Linked DNA regions of Bombyx mori. The protein of the gene in region 3 interacts with the protein of the main gene of each other region in a pairwise test. Links are inferred from orthologs where the notes say so. Each region holds a gene or a part of one and is shown on either strand. Other genes may lie near its edges.

Region 1 (5,103 bases), on a different chromosome or scaffold from region 3:
TCTAGCAGAGTGGAAAGTATAAATAGTCACCCTAGTCTAAAATTTGTTGTTAATAAATAAAATATGTCAATTTGATATTTTTTGCCGCTTAACTTAAAAAAAAAATCTCTCTAAAGATTTCATTTTTGTTCCGTTTGGGGTGGAAACTTTGGGCCCCTGGGGCCCATCTGCTAAAAGCTTTTTTAAGGACCTTAAAAAAAACTTTTTGAGGCCTCGGGAGACCAGAAGGCCGGTACGTATTTTGCACAAAGAATTAGCATTGCTATCCAGCGTGGAAATGCTGCCAGCCTTCTGGGAACTCTGCCAACCGGCGGTGAGCTAACGCAGATTTTCTATTTCTTCTTCTTCTTCTTCTAATAAAAAATTAAAAAATGTCTAATTGTTAGATAAAAATGTCTAATTGTTATTTAACAATTAGACATTTTTTGATAATGTGTATTCGATTCTTCAGTCTGTAATTTATTTACATTAAAGAAGAAATAGAAACTTATTTGTAAATTGGTAACCCCGTACAACATACTTGGACGAACAAAAAATTAAATACTTTCTCTACATTGATCACGATATGAAAATACTTAAAATAATATAGTACCTAGCGTGATAACAAAAATATAAAATTCTATTTTTTGTTAACTACACTAAATCACTAACATAATTTATACATACTATATCCATATTATATGTTCATAAGGCTATCCACCCGAGATCTTATCAAAATATTTTCGTTCGAAAGTTATCGCATTTTTAAAGTCCATCCATTCTTAATCTGTTTTTTGTGAAATTTTTTACTAATTTTTTTATTTATTACATGAGTGGACGAGCTCACAGCTCACCTGGTGTTAAGTGGTTTCTGGAGTCCATAGACATCGACAACGTTAATGCCGCCGCCCACCTTGAGATATAAGTTCTAAGGTCTCAGTATAATTACAACGGCTTCCCCACCCTTCAAACCGAAACGCATTACTGCTTCACGCCAGAAATTGGCAGGGCTGTAGTACCTACCCGTACGGACTCACAAGAGGTACTACCACCAGTAATTACGCTAATTACGCAAAAATAAAATGGTTATCGAGGGACAGTTTTATGTTCACGTCATGACTTATGCTAGTGTGGTGTTCGCTCAAGCGGCCCGCAAACACATAGACACCTCTATGATATACACATAGACAATCCCTACAAACCCGCTCTTGCAGGTTAACAGTCGGAGTGGGTCATAAGGAACCTTGACCTATACGATGACCTGGGTCTCGAATCCATCCGGAAACACATGAAGTCAGTGTCGAAACGGTATTTCGATAAGTCTATGCGTTATGATAATCGCCTTATCGTTGTCGCCGCTGACTACTCTCTGAATCCTGATCACGCAGGAGCCAGTCACCGTCGATGTCCTAAACACGTCTTTACGGATCCATCAGATCCAATAATCCTTGCATGAGACGCCTTTAGCTCTAACAATAGGACCAGGCTTAGGGACCCCGGTAACCGTACTCGTCAAACTCGGCATAAAGTTCGACGTGTACCCTAACCTAAACATCAGTACGCTGAGTTTCTTGCCGGATCTTCTCAGTGGGTTGCGATTCCAATCCGGCAGCAGATTCATTCGCAAAGCAGCTGCTCTTGATTTGTTAGGTCTCCTTCGGAGGTGCTCGGGCAGCTATTTGCATATCCCATCCCTTCTTGATGAGCCTTTGTTCGCCCACCAGTCCTGGTGAAGCTGGAAAGGCCTCCGGGCCATGAGTAATACTAAAATAAATAAATAAGATTATGTTGGCACTAAAAGCGCATTTATTAGAGCAAATATTAAGTGTATTGTCTATAGATAGAGCTATCCTACTTAACTCACATAAATACCGTACGTTCTTTTTTGGTAATCTGCATATAATTTTTAGGATCTATTTAATTCAACGCACACACTTGCATGTGCACTCAAAAATGTTTTTATTCTCATGCTTGGTCTTAAGATTCACAAATCAAAATAGAGGTCAATCAGCAATTTCCAAATAGAACCATGCCAACTATTTTTGTGAAATTTATGGTCTTAGTTGTCTGGCAGCACTACTAGTTAGCCGTCATACTGACCCATAGACAATATACAAGTCAACGCTATTCGTCAATTTGTCTTTCTCGTATAAATTTTACTTTTCCGCCAAAGTACATAGTCATTCTAGAATTGCCAAAATGGCAGAGGGACAAGACGACCCTAAAAAAATTACGATCACAGTTAAAACCCCGAAAGAGAAGCAGCAAGTTGAAATTGAGGAAGATGCCGATATCAAAAGAGTGAGTAGGGGGCCGTGAAATCCTTCATTCATGGCGTAATAACATTGATATGGGACACGCAATCAGTGACGACATATATTTCTTCATTCCGGCACATAAAAACGCAGTATTTTCATTCGTTTTAGCTCAAAGAAGTGTTGTCTTCAAAATTCAGTACAGAACCAGAACAATTATGTCTTATTTTCGCCGGGAAAATCATGAATGATGCCGATACCCTGAAGCAACACAACATCAAAGATGGGTTGACAGTGCATCTAGTGATTAAAGCTCCTCCAAGACCAGAACCGGAGGGTGCGGCTCGTAGACCCCCAGGTAAATTAACTAACTAGGATTGGATTTTCATTAGTTGTGTTGACTAACGAGTTCCAAGTCCATTTCAATAAAATATGTCATACGAATTAACCTGGATAATGAAATACAGTTAGTTTAGCTATTTGCAAGTAAACATTGATGATATTTAATTGTTTTGAGAAACAAATGGAGGAACATACAAGAATCATATTCACTAATTATGGACACTATAAAATGTATGTAAATTTTAGAGATTCCAATGTGAAGATTTCAATGAGCCAGTGAAAATTTTTGTTAGACTCACAACCAAAATGTTATTGAAAACTTATCTTGAAAATCTTGCTGGCTTGATATGTCGTCTAATTTCTTCTGCCATATAAGCTATCGCTACATGTATCATATATTATATCCACTCTTAAAGTGAAAAAAAATAGAAACTTTTTGGAAAAATAGATGGCATACTGTTAACCTGCTCAGGTGGAATCCACCAATTTGCCTATTAATGCAGCATGGCATGCACACATTAGTTTGCAGGATAGGACAGTCATTATCTAAGACAATTTGGTCTTTTGCCTCGTGTGTCTAGTGGTTTCATTCACATTGTGATATCAATGGGCTTTGTTAAGCACTTAAAACTAGGTGCTCCTCCATCTATCTGTGCAATAAAAATAAATAATAGATATTTGACTGGGAACTTGTGTATATTATATTTCTCTCTTCTTCTCTGTCGTTTCCTCATGACTGAGGGTTGTGACCACCTTGGTCCAGTTTTTGCACCAGCTTCCTCCAATGCTGCCTGCATTTGGCCTGCTTAATGGCTTAATATTTATGTCATAGGAAAATTAAATTTCTCGTACAGCATATTAGCTTCAGTGGCAAATTGAAAACTTTATTTTGGGCCACAAAGCTTTTGGAAAATATAAATATATTACATTTTGCTGCACTAAATATTAATTTCTTACTTGTAAAGTAAAGCTTTTATTGTGTTAATCAAGGTAAAACAATAATTAAGCATAAACTTTTTCTTTACAGTAAATCAGAAACTTTGGTATATGTTGTTTTGACCTGTTTTAGTCTAATAAAGATAATTTTTTGTAAAAGATATGTCAGGTGTTAATGGGATACTTGTGTTTATGGCTATATCTAACATTTATGACTTGTGAGCAATTGGCACACCTGCTGTTAAAGGTAACCAGAATCTATAGACATCTTATGGTGAACATGTCCACATTCATCATTGTGACACATTCAGTTAGAAGCCACAGTAGCATTAGTAAAACAGTAATTTCACACACATCTATTCTACTCATAAACTAGACAATCTGTTATAACATCAGATCCTCTCGCTCAGACTGGCCAAATACTAATAGTTAATATGATGATGATAATAATCATTTAAATACTTGGATGTTTGTTTCAAATAAAAATTCTTCTTATTTGGATTTATTTTACTAGAAAGAAATCCAATTGTTTACTTAATAACACTTGTGTTAGATTATTGAAAATTATAAAAATATGAAATTTATTTCCACTACATTTGTAATATCATTTTCCTAGCTGACGTCAGTGCTACACCATTTGGTTTAAACTCGCTGGGTGGGCTGGCGGGTCTTGAAAGCTTGGGCCTTGGTCAGAGTACTTTTATGGATCTCCAGGTATTTATATCACAGGACTGCTTTATATGATATTGAAAAGTTTTCAGCTACATTTATAAACTGTAAAACTGTAATTTTTTATTATTAACAAGCCTTTCGTTTAGTCTATTTATTGGGGTTCTCAACCCATCTAGCACAGTTACCGCAACCCATATGACAGCTTCAGATAGAATTCCAAGTAACAATTTAATTAGGATATTTCCTTTTTTTTCCTACCTATGCTGATACCCTTGAAAGGCTATATCAGTGTTACTCTAGCGTATAGGTGAGTTCTCAGGACTCAAACCGGAGGTGTTGCTAACACTGGCCCTAGCAAGAACAGTGCTTCACAGAATCTACCACCAGATCAAAAACACAACCCACTGAGAAGATAACCAAAATGCATGATTGTTTTGCTTTTTTTGTGTTTTTTTTTTAATTCAGACTGGCTTTATATGCAATAGAACATACGGCCCTATTAATAGCAAGTTTAAGCCGTCCCTCATAAACCAGCAATGATAGAGGAACAGTCAAACTTACGCCTACTGTATAATTAACAAATTTGGACCCTACTAAGGCTTATATTATTCACAGGCTAGAATGCAACAGGAACTTCTGTCCAACCCTGATATGCTCAGACAAGTCTTAGACAATCCATTGGTGCAGCAGATGATGAATGATCCTGAGAATATGCGTAGCCTCATCACCTCCAACCCACAAATGCAAGATCTCATGTCTGTGAGTCATTTTTTTACTAAAATTGTACTATTATAAAGTAATAAATACTACTAATGACTAGTATATAATAATAAAAATTTACTAACTTCATAAATTAACACGTTGCCTGTCCGTGCATTATATATAATGCATTTTTGGTCCAGCTGTGACGTCCGTGCAT
Region 2 (4,830 bases), on a different chromosome or scaffold from region 3:
CAAATACATTCAACAGAATAAAATATTGTAATGTATGATTGTAAATTGATCATGTCGCTGCCGTCTTTCGCATCATTAAGGGCTTCTTGCAAGTTTTCAATGCACACTCTTATAATAGAACGATATTGTCGTGAAAGTTTTAATAATTCCACGTGATTGTCATTATTTTTTGAAGAATCGACGAGTTTCTGCAGAGATAAATATGTACCATTGGATTCGTTTACCAGTTTTCGTAAAATCGGATGAAATAATACAATCTCGTGACGTATATTGAGTATTTTGTTTTCGACATCATTTTTTGGTGTTTTCGAAACAGTTTGACTGCGTGGGTAGATAGAAAACTTGTTACCACTCCTCCACGCACATCCTACGCCCTTATTGAAACATTTTTCTGGTATATTCTGTAAGAAACAAAAAAAATAACTTAACTCAAACATAACCTATATATTCGTTGAATCATGTTAATTACTTACAAATGTTTTAGCTCGAATAATAGGACTACTATCATCGCCACGAACATTATTGTTAGAAAAAGTCGTTATATTCATTTTGTATTAAATCTTTCATGTACACAATGCAATTTCACATAAAATTTTGTAAACATTTGAATGCGAAACAGAATTGATCAGAAACCGCCGTTTCAAATGCGCTGATTTTTTTATTTGTTTCACACATAGAACAAGGTGAAAGCAAAGGAAACAAAATCCATACAGCCAATTATTCTTTTTGGTCAAATGCGTAATAATAGTGGGTTAGTAATCTTTTAGCATGTGTATATGGGCAGGTGTGAGAAAATAAAACAAAATCGCAGGACATGGCTTAGCGGTATCTTTTTCAAAAATACGCACACAATTCTATTTCGACGTCACCTCATCTCATCTCATTGCAATTTCAGATGATTCAATTTGGTTTCATTCCTTCCTATTAGATTTAGATAAGTTGACGAGCAATACGCACCTGTTATTTTTTATAATTCGTTGTCTATTCGCTGGTGTCTAAGGGGCTATTTCAGCTACGCGCAAACAAGTAGATGAGCTCAGAAATTCAACCTGAGAAAATTTGCTAACACTAGCCCTAGCAAGAACAGTGCCGCTGCAAAATCTATTACCCGATCAGAATCACGACTCATTGAGAATATCCGGCCAGAAACGCAGTGGGTTGTGTCTATGAGTTAATTCGATCATCGAAAACTTCGTCGCAATTGACGTGATTGATGAAGAAAGTAACCGTGAGTGAAAGGATCGGATAGGTCATGTTTCGCGATGTAATTTTACGTTGCCTCGTCCTTTGAGTCGGATATGTAATAAGCAGCGGTCACATTAAATAGATTATCGTGTCGCACCGAGCACTACGTTAATATTGCCACCGATCACAAAACATAAAATCAAAGACTCATTTGTATTGTATAGACTATGTAGTCCACCTTTCATAGCGGAACGCTTTCTAACTGTTATGCTTTAGAAACAGACAGAACAGTGATACCCAATAATGAAATTTACTGAAATCTACATGTAATTTCGTTCGCGTTCGACTTTTGTACTTCGGGTTTCAACTTCTGCACTTTCACAGATGCTAAACGATTGATAATCTACCATGATTATACGTTTAAACTAGAAGCAACACTAAATTAACAAAATAAAATAATCCATACAGTTACCTTGCCTCCCCGCCGAAAAGTTTCTTACAAACTTTAAATACACGAACATACGGCCAACAGTGCTAGACAAACTTTAACCCAAGATAACTAAAAAGTCGAGTATGATAGCCGTAAACATATTTTAAAAAGGTATGCATTGACAGTTGACGTTTTTGTTTGTTTTCGTAGTTTGACGCTCGTGATTCATTGTGAAACGTTTATCCCCTATAATAAAAAAAGTTTTTAAGTTTATATTTACCCTGAAATTAAATCCTTCCAGTATTTACAAGGTATAAAGGTACGTGAACATTTGATGACTTTGCATTTTTATTTAATAAGTAATGTCGCTGACCGGATGACCTGTTGGAGGACATATTGTTGATTTTGTCATGAATTAAATCTTGACAGTTTCAATTCGTCAAAAACTGTTTTGTAAACGGTATATTATTTTACAACAAAATTATAAAGTAAGTCAACTGTTATAATATAACTCGACGTTTTAATTAATATAATGCGATATCCAATATAAAAACAATTTAACTTGAAAGTTTTCGTTTGTTGTCAAAGTCGGATTTAACTATTTTTGGTAAGTTTAGTTCTTAATATTTCATGTGACCTGACTTTCTAGAGTGATCCGAATCATTGAGGCCTTCACCTCGTCTAGGGGCCATAATATTGATACAAAAACCGTGAGCTGCAACCGCGACTGTGACGTAGCGAGCGGTGAAAAACTAAACCGAGTGAATTAGGCCGCAGAAACCCGCTTCGGCGGTCGTGTTGTGTTCTGTGTCGTACCGTGACGTTCGGCGATCGTAGAAGATTCTGTGTACTAATTTATCGTAGTTGATGTGATAAAAAATTATCATTGAATGATATCTAGTATAATATTACTGTTTCGTCGTTCGTACCTGTGCACAGCTCAGACTAGTGGTGTTACTTGTGAAGTGTTTGTGGTGAAGAAATATTTTGGTGTAAACATTGTGTAAGTTGAATACTTGCAGTGCAAGTTGGATGTTACCTCTGTCCAGTAACCTTGAATGTTGTACATGTACATGTTTTATCATATCAAAGCAACATTTCATTTTATTTGTTATCATAGCTCATACAAAAATTCTCTTTTAGCTGTGAATTCCAACTCTTGACTATTTTAACACTCATTTCCAAATTTAAACTTTCTAACTGCACATTTAAAATTGTAAATTATTTCAATGTATTGTAAATGGCTGTGACACCCTTTTTCAGATAAGACATCTTTGAATAGCTTACCTAGGTATGTGTGACATATAGACCCAACACCCCAAGAAAAAAGTCATAAAAACAATCAACAACATAAATGCAAACTCACAAACAATTGTGGTTCTGATGTTGGGGTTTATAAAATCCCAGTTATTTAGGAGTTTCGATGAGATTATTATTAGAATTATTAGATCACCCCTGTATGCTAATTGACACTGGTTCTTCTTTATCTCAACACCTAACACATTATGTGATTGAGATTTTGACATTTAAATAGTGTAAAGGCCATTTTAGTGCTTTATTTGTGTTTTGATGAAAATGGAAAAATTATAATTAAATTCATCTCATATAAAGCAATAGATGGACAAGCTACATATAAAGCAATAGATGAACACAACTACACACAACATACTACTATCTATTTGTGCCCTCTTATATATATTTTTGAATACAAACTTCTTCAAAACTATCATCTGCTTGGACTATATATATTGATTTATGTCTGGCTTGTAGCCTGTTGCCGTTCATCCATTGATGTAGTGGTCTGCCTCTATTGTGACTTAGAGTGAGATGTCTGTTTGGTTTGGGGGTCCTGCCGAACCAATGACATCAGTCTGTCGTGGCACTGGGCACTGCTCACTCCATTTTCGCCTCCTTTCAATTTACTTATTCATGTGATTTCCAATATTTTCAGTCAATATGCAATAGATGCAAAAAACGTATCGATGTAATAATATAATCATTGCTAAAATTTTCGATTTTACTTAATGTAGTGTTGCAGGAAGGTGTATGATACATTTTCAAACCAAAACACATGAATGTTCTGTGGCAGAATACATAAGATGATGATACTTGCAGGCTTATGATATGCCGCAGAAATCAATAAATTAGATTGTTTGTAATGTGCCCTACTACCACTAAACATAATACATTTTTTGTATTAAATAAATTGTCCTTCACTTCCTCAACACTTTAGACAATAGAACAAAACAAACATGTTCACGAACAACAATAAATGTTGTAGATAATTTAATGACAATCAATCGCAGCGTGATATCAGACGAGACCTCTCAAAAACATGATAAAGATTCAATCCGTGATAAGATGAATCATTTTTTGTTCAGTGTTTCAGAATGTTCTTTTTTAGTATTGTAGATAGACCGTGAAGCTGATGGTTCATCTGGAATCTACCACAAACATGAGGTTGAACTTATTGGCATCAATGAATGCCATTGATATATTATCTGTCTCACTTCTCACAATAATGCATTATTTATTTGTGCTCTAGAAATTTGAGGCTATGACTGCTTTAAAGATTTTAAAAGCATTTTTCGACACGGAAGGTACAACTGTATCCGCCCCCAAATTGAACCAATTTAACGTTTGTTTTTTCAATATAGTCAGACAATGGCTACGCCGGTTTGTTTGCTTTTATTCTGGTTGGTGATAAAAAAATTCTTCTAGATACAGGATAAGCAATAAATTTTAAAAGATTCCCAATAGTTGAAATAAAAAAAGCCGTTTTAAAACTATTTGTTTATTGTCTTATATATTTTTTTTTTTATCAGGTCGATACTGGTATTAGAGTGAGTTTATAAAATTATTGTTTCTCCTTGGTGCTTGATGTGTGTATTTTCAAGATTATCGGATGCCTTGAACTCAGTGAAAATGACATTCAAAGTTACCCGTTACATAAAAACAAATATATAGTACATACGTACATACATACATAATGTATACCAAGCTAATACGAGCGTGTTCAAAATTTAAATAGGTACATAAAAATATTTGATCTAGATTTAATATTCAGGGAGGAAACGGAAATACAGAATTACGCAGCACGTTTCAGCCTAACCGTAAAATATCCCGTTAATTTGATTTTACATTTTCCGACTGTAGGATGTATAGATAGTCTTCGTAAATTTAATTAAAAAAAAACACGTCATTAAACCGTTTTT
Region 3 (4,336 bases):
TCCACCTATTATGGGAGCGACTCAGGCCCTGATCCAGTCTCCCCCCCTGTCTGGTCCGCAACAACCCGCGCCGGTCACGGCCGCGTCGTTTGGGGGTAGTCCCCCGCACCCGGTGGTCGCAGCTTCGGTTCCCGGACAGCCGGTGACGTCTACGCCGATCGCGGCTCTGAACAAAGAGGTCATATCGAAACCAGGTAATCAAATAATCATAATTGTAGTTTGAAAACTAAAAAAATAAACATGCTTTAACATCTAATCGAACTAACAGTTGGTGTCATAATTTTGTTTGTCCTGTCGATACTGGTAGTGATATCAGAGGGTAGTTATAAAACTGTTGTGTCGTCAGCGGTCATTGACCCGCGGGTGGGTTGATTTGTATTACGGGTTTTTCTCTGGACCCTGAATAATGATGTTACATGTGGAAGGGTGAAAGTTTATTTGGTCTAAGCGACATTTATCTTTATAATTAAAGGTCCGTTTTATTTGGTATCAGCACCAACAGTTCGATGTTTTTAATTGAACTTCAATTAAGTTTACTCTATTTGAATAGCTGAAGAAAAGGTTTTTTGTTATGATATTTTTTTCTAAATTTTAAACTTTCAATGGCTCTTTTGTAAAGTTGCAAAAATGTCGCGTAAACCCAACAACCTTTCACCCGTCGATGTGATCTCAGTAGGAAGAAATTATTTTGAATTTAGCGTGATTCCTGCTGTCCTTCCAGGATCCGTAGTGACGAGTCCCGAAGTCCCGATGGGAGTGATGAGCCCCCCTCCCATGGAGTGGGGGGTGCCGCAGCCACAGAAACTCAAGTGTGTATCGTCGACTGCTGCTAAAGCGATACCTGACCCTAGAGGGTTACCAGGCCACTTTCAGACTTGACCTTCGTGCCTCAGTGCTATAGTACAACAACCGCCCCAACCTTCAAACCGGAACGCATACTGCTTCGTGGCAAAAATAGGTGAAGCGGCTGTGCCTATCCGTGACAATCAAAAGACGCCCTGCTACTAACCGCTTCTGAATAATAATATTAAAAAACGAAGGAGCTGATCTGCGGACCCTGGACCGCAACGGAACTCCTGAACGGCCACTGGTAACCCAATCGAGTTTGGGCTCGTTAGATCTGTCCCAACGAGTGTTCTCGTGTGTTCTCTGTGTTCAATTCAGTACAATGTTAAGAAATTGAGAAGTGCGCGTTTGGAATGGTATGGACATGTGGTGAGATGAAATGACAATGAGATTGTCAAGAGAGTTTTAACTATGAATGTAGAAGGCTTTAGAGGAAGAGGTAGACCTAAAAAAAATGGATGGATTGCGTGAAAGACGATATGTGTCAGAGGGGAGTGAGCTAAATGGTGCATGATAGAGGAGTATGGAAGGAGAAACCATGTTGCGCCGATCCCAGGCGACTAGGAAAAGGACAGGATAATGATGATGTACTCCCTAGGTACACGCAGCTGTTCAACGCCACTGACCGCGCGAAGACCGGATCCGTTTCCGGGACGCAGGCGAGGTCCATCATGCTGCAGTCCAGACTCCCACAGCAAAGCCTGGCCCAGATCTGGGCGCTGGCCGATCTGGACGCCGATGGGAAATTGGGTGTGCTATTGAATCTGTTTTTTTTTTGAGACATGGTCACCCCTTAGTTGCCACCTGTCTTGAGGCACGAGGTCGAAGGTATAAAGGCTGTTCCGTGCTTCAAACCTAAACGTATAACTGCTTAGCGACAAAGACGATTAAGATGGCGGTACCTACTCGTACGGCCTGACGATATTTTCTACAAGTGTGTTTTCTTAATTCAAGTGAAAAACGTAGTCACTGAACCCGGATTAAATATCAAAACAATGCTCTAAATCCAAGTTCCCTAAAACTGAAATTTCATACCAAAATTAATTTGATATTTTAAGTAATAAAAAAATACCACGGGGAAATCTTCAGCTGCTCCCAACGACAACATTTGAAGTAATTAATTAGGTATGATTCGAGAATCTGCAACCTTAGTAATGTGTAGAGGACTTGTACTTGTACTTGGACTCGGAACCCGGTAAGGATGTGACGGTTGTCTCTCGCGTCCAGGCTGCGAAGAGTTCGTCCTGGCGATGTACCTGTGCGAGAAGGCGACGCAGGGCGAGCCGGTGCCCGCCAGGCTGCCTCCGGAACTGATCCCGCCTTCCTTCAGGTAAACCGACTTGAGTTCCACCTAAAAGTAAACAGGTTTCCACCCGGTCACTGTTCATGAGTTATTGGTGAAGTCTTGTGAGCCCGCACGGGTAGGTACCACCGCCCTACCGCAAAGCTGACATGCGATCTGGTTTTAAGAGCTAGTCCGTCTGCTTTTGCACATGGTGTTAAGTGGTTACTGGAGCCTATAGACATCTACGACGCAAATGCTGCTACCCACCTTGTGATATGAGTTCTAAGGTTCCATAGTTCTATAGTTACAACATAGGCAGGGCGATGGTACTTACCCGCGTTGACTGACAAGAGGTCCTATTACCAGTAATGATAATCTCTAGATAAAAGGGTGCATGTACTTATGTACGCGCGTAAGAAGTTATACTTTATTTTTATTCAAATAGAAACTCAAAGAATGTGGATAAATATTATAAATATAAATACACAGTGAACAGAGGCGGCGTGCGTGCCAACATGCGCCACTAACAGAGGTTCCATTTCTGTTTTGTTGGTAGCGTTTTTTACGAGTGTACATGCGCGAAAGTTCACCTGCGGCTATATTCAGACTCGCCAAGTTACGTCGGTCGTATTGTAATGAGTGATTTAGTGGGCAACTTCATTCTGTTTTGTGTCACGGTGCGCGCGCATCGTAAAATTTCACTATCATCAATTTTTCATAACGCTTCTAAAGAAGTATAACTTCAAAAAGTCGCTGTTGGTCTCGCAGGAGGGAATCGGTTTCGTCCACGAGCAGCGCTAAGTCGTACGAGGAGCGGCGGCGGGAGAACATGGCGCGCGGACAGGCCGAGCTCGAGCGCCGACGGACGCAGCTGGCCGACGCACAGATGAAGGAGAAGGTAAGAGGGCGGGGTCTGAACCAGAGCCAGTGGAGGGGGTCAACGGGGGACCACTCAACCAATCGTTTTAAACTGTGGCAGCGGCGTCGGTCGTGGCTGATCGACGCCCAGATTAACGAGAAGGTAAGGGGACGGGGTTTGAACTAGAACCAATGGGGGGGTCAACAGGGAACCATTGAACCAACCGTTTTAAACCGTGGCAGCGGTATCGGTCGTAGCTGATCGACGCACAGACGAAGGAGAAGGTAAGAGGACGGGGTCTGAACCACAGCCACTGAAGGAGGTCAACAGCAACAGGGGACCATTGAACCGATTGTTTTGAACCGTGTCAGCGCCGCCGGACGCAGCTGGCCGACGCCCAGATGAAGGAGAAGATAAGGGGACGGGGTCTGAACGAGAGCCAGTGGAGGGGGTCAACAGGGGACCATTGACCAATGGTTTAAAACCCTCACGCCCATCTCTATCTGTATCTGTGTGTGTGCGTGTGCGTGTGCGTGTGTGCGTGCCAACAAATTTGAACAGCCATTATTGTCAGTGTCATTGTCATTGAATTTGATTGAATTTTCGTTTTTGTATTTCACGCCTTCAAGGAAGCAGAGGTACATATGAACTGTTGCAATTAATCTTTTGAATTAATTAAGCATTTCTGAACTTTATCAAACAAGTCTTATTTAAATGTAATGTGTAGTGTAGTCATATGCAGTAGACTGGATCAGGTCCTCCGACGGTCCGCGCCTTTTTTTTATAGCATAGGTGGGTGGACGAGTTCACAGCCCACCTGATGTTAAGTTGTTATCGGACCCCATAGACTTCTACAACGTAAATGCGTCACCCACCTTGAGATATAAGTTCTAAGGTCTCAGTATAGTCACAACGGCTGCCCCGTCCTTCAAACCGAAACGCATTACTGCTTCACGGCAGAAACAGGCAGGGTGGTGGTAACTACTCGCGCGGACTCATAAGTTCGGTCAGATAAGGCTCACCGGTGAACATGGTGTTCAACGTGTTAAGTATATATGAGTTTTTATATCACTCTCTGCTTCCCATAGTGGGGTCGCAGTTAAAACTAGATAACTCGACCTCCTTCTATTCCGTGGCATGCGTCATCCTTCTAACAGGCAGAGAGGGAGAGGAAAGAGCGAGAGGAAGCCGAGAAGAGAGAAAAACTCCGTCTGGAGGCCCAGCAGAGGGAGCAGGAGGAGTTACTCCGTAAACAGAAGGAGGAACAGGTACGGACCATTGGACCTCCCCCACCGAACGCTGGTTACCAGTCTAAGAGCCGAGGTGATGGTACAAACTGCAGCCTC

Evidence for each region. The genes of interacting proteins can lie anywhere in the genome.
Region 1: the proteins of intersectin-1 (region 3) and ubiquilin-1 interact in a two-hybrid assay, tested with the Caenorhabditis elegans proteins (3 studies listed by BioGRID). The link is inferred for Bombyx mori from reciprocal best matches to the Caenorhabditis elegans genes itsn-1 and ubql-1.
Region 2: the proteins of intersectin-1 (region 3) and epsin-1 interact in a two-hybrid assay, tested with the Caenorhabditis elegans proteins (3 studies listed by BioGRID). The link is inferred for Bombyx mori from reciprocal best matches to the Caenorhabditis elegans genes itsn-1 and epn-1.

Annotation. Positions count from the first base shown.
Region 1 is NC_085127.1:9,240,014-9,245,116, forward strand, and holds the start of ubiquilin-1, read left to right. Parts: upstream 1-2,046; 5' UTR 2,047-2,178; coding exon 2,179-2,280; intron 2,281-2,405; coding exon 2,406-2,592; intron 2,593-4,128; coding exon 4,129-4,226; intron 4,227-4,799; coding exon 4,800-4,943; intron 4,944-5,103. UniProt on the Caenorhabditis elegans protein: May play a role in the ER-associated protein degradation pathway (ERAD) possibly via its interaction with ER-localized proteins ubxn-4 and cdc-48.1 and/or cdc48.2, providing a link between the polyubiquitinated ERAD substrates and the proteasome.
Region 2 is NC_085123.1:530,968-535,797, forward strand, and holds the start of epsin-1, read left to right. Parts: upstream 1-1,773; 5' UTR 1,774-1,934; exon of another isoform or gene 1,935-2,222; intron 2,223-2,332; exon of another isoform or gene 2,333-2,618; intron 2,619-4,830. Other genes in the region: nuclear pore complex protein Nup85, read right to left, coding at 1-401, 474-548.
Region 3 is NC_085117.1:626,869-631,204, reverse strand, and holds part of intersectin-1, read left to right. Parts: coding exon 1-194; intron 195-721; coding exon 722-809; intron 810-1,444; coding exon 1,445-1,596; intron 1,597-2,073; coding exon 2,074-2,176; intron 2,177-2,899; coding exon 2,900-3,029; intron 3,030-4,147; coding exon 4,148-4,258; intron 4,259-4,336.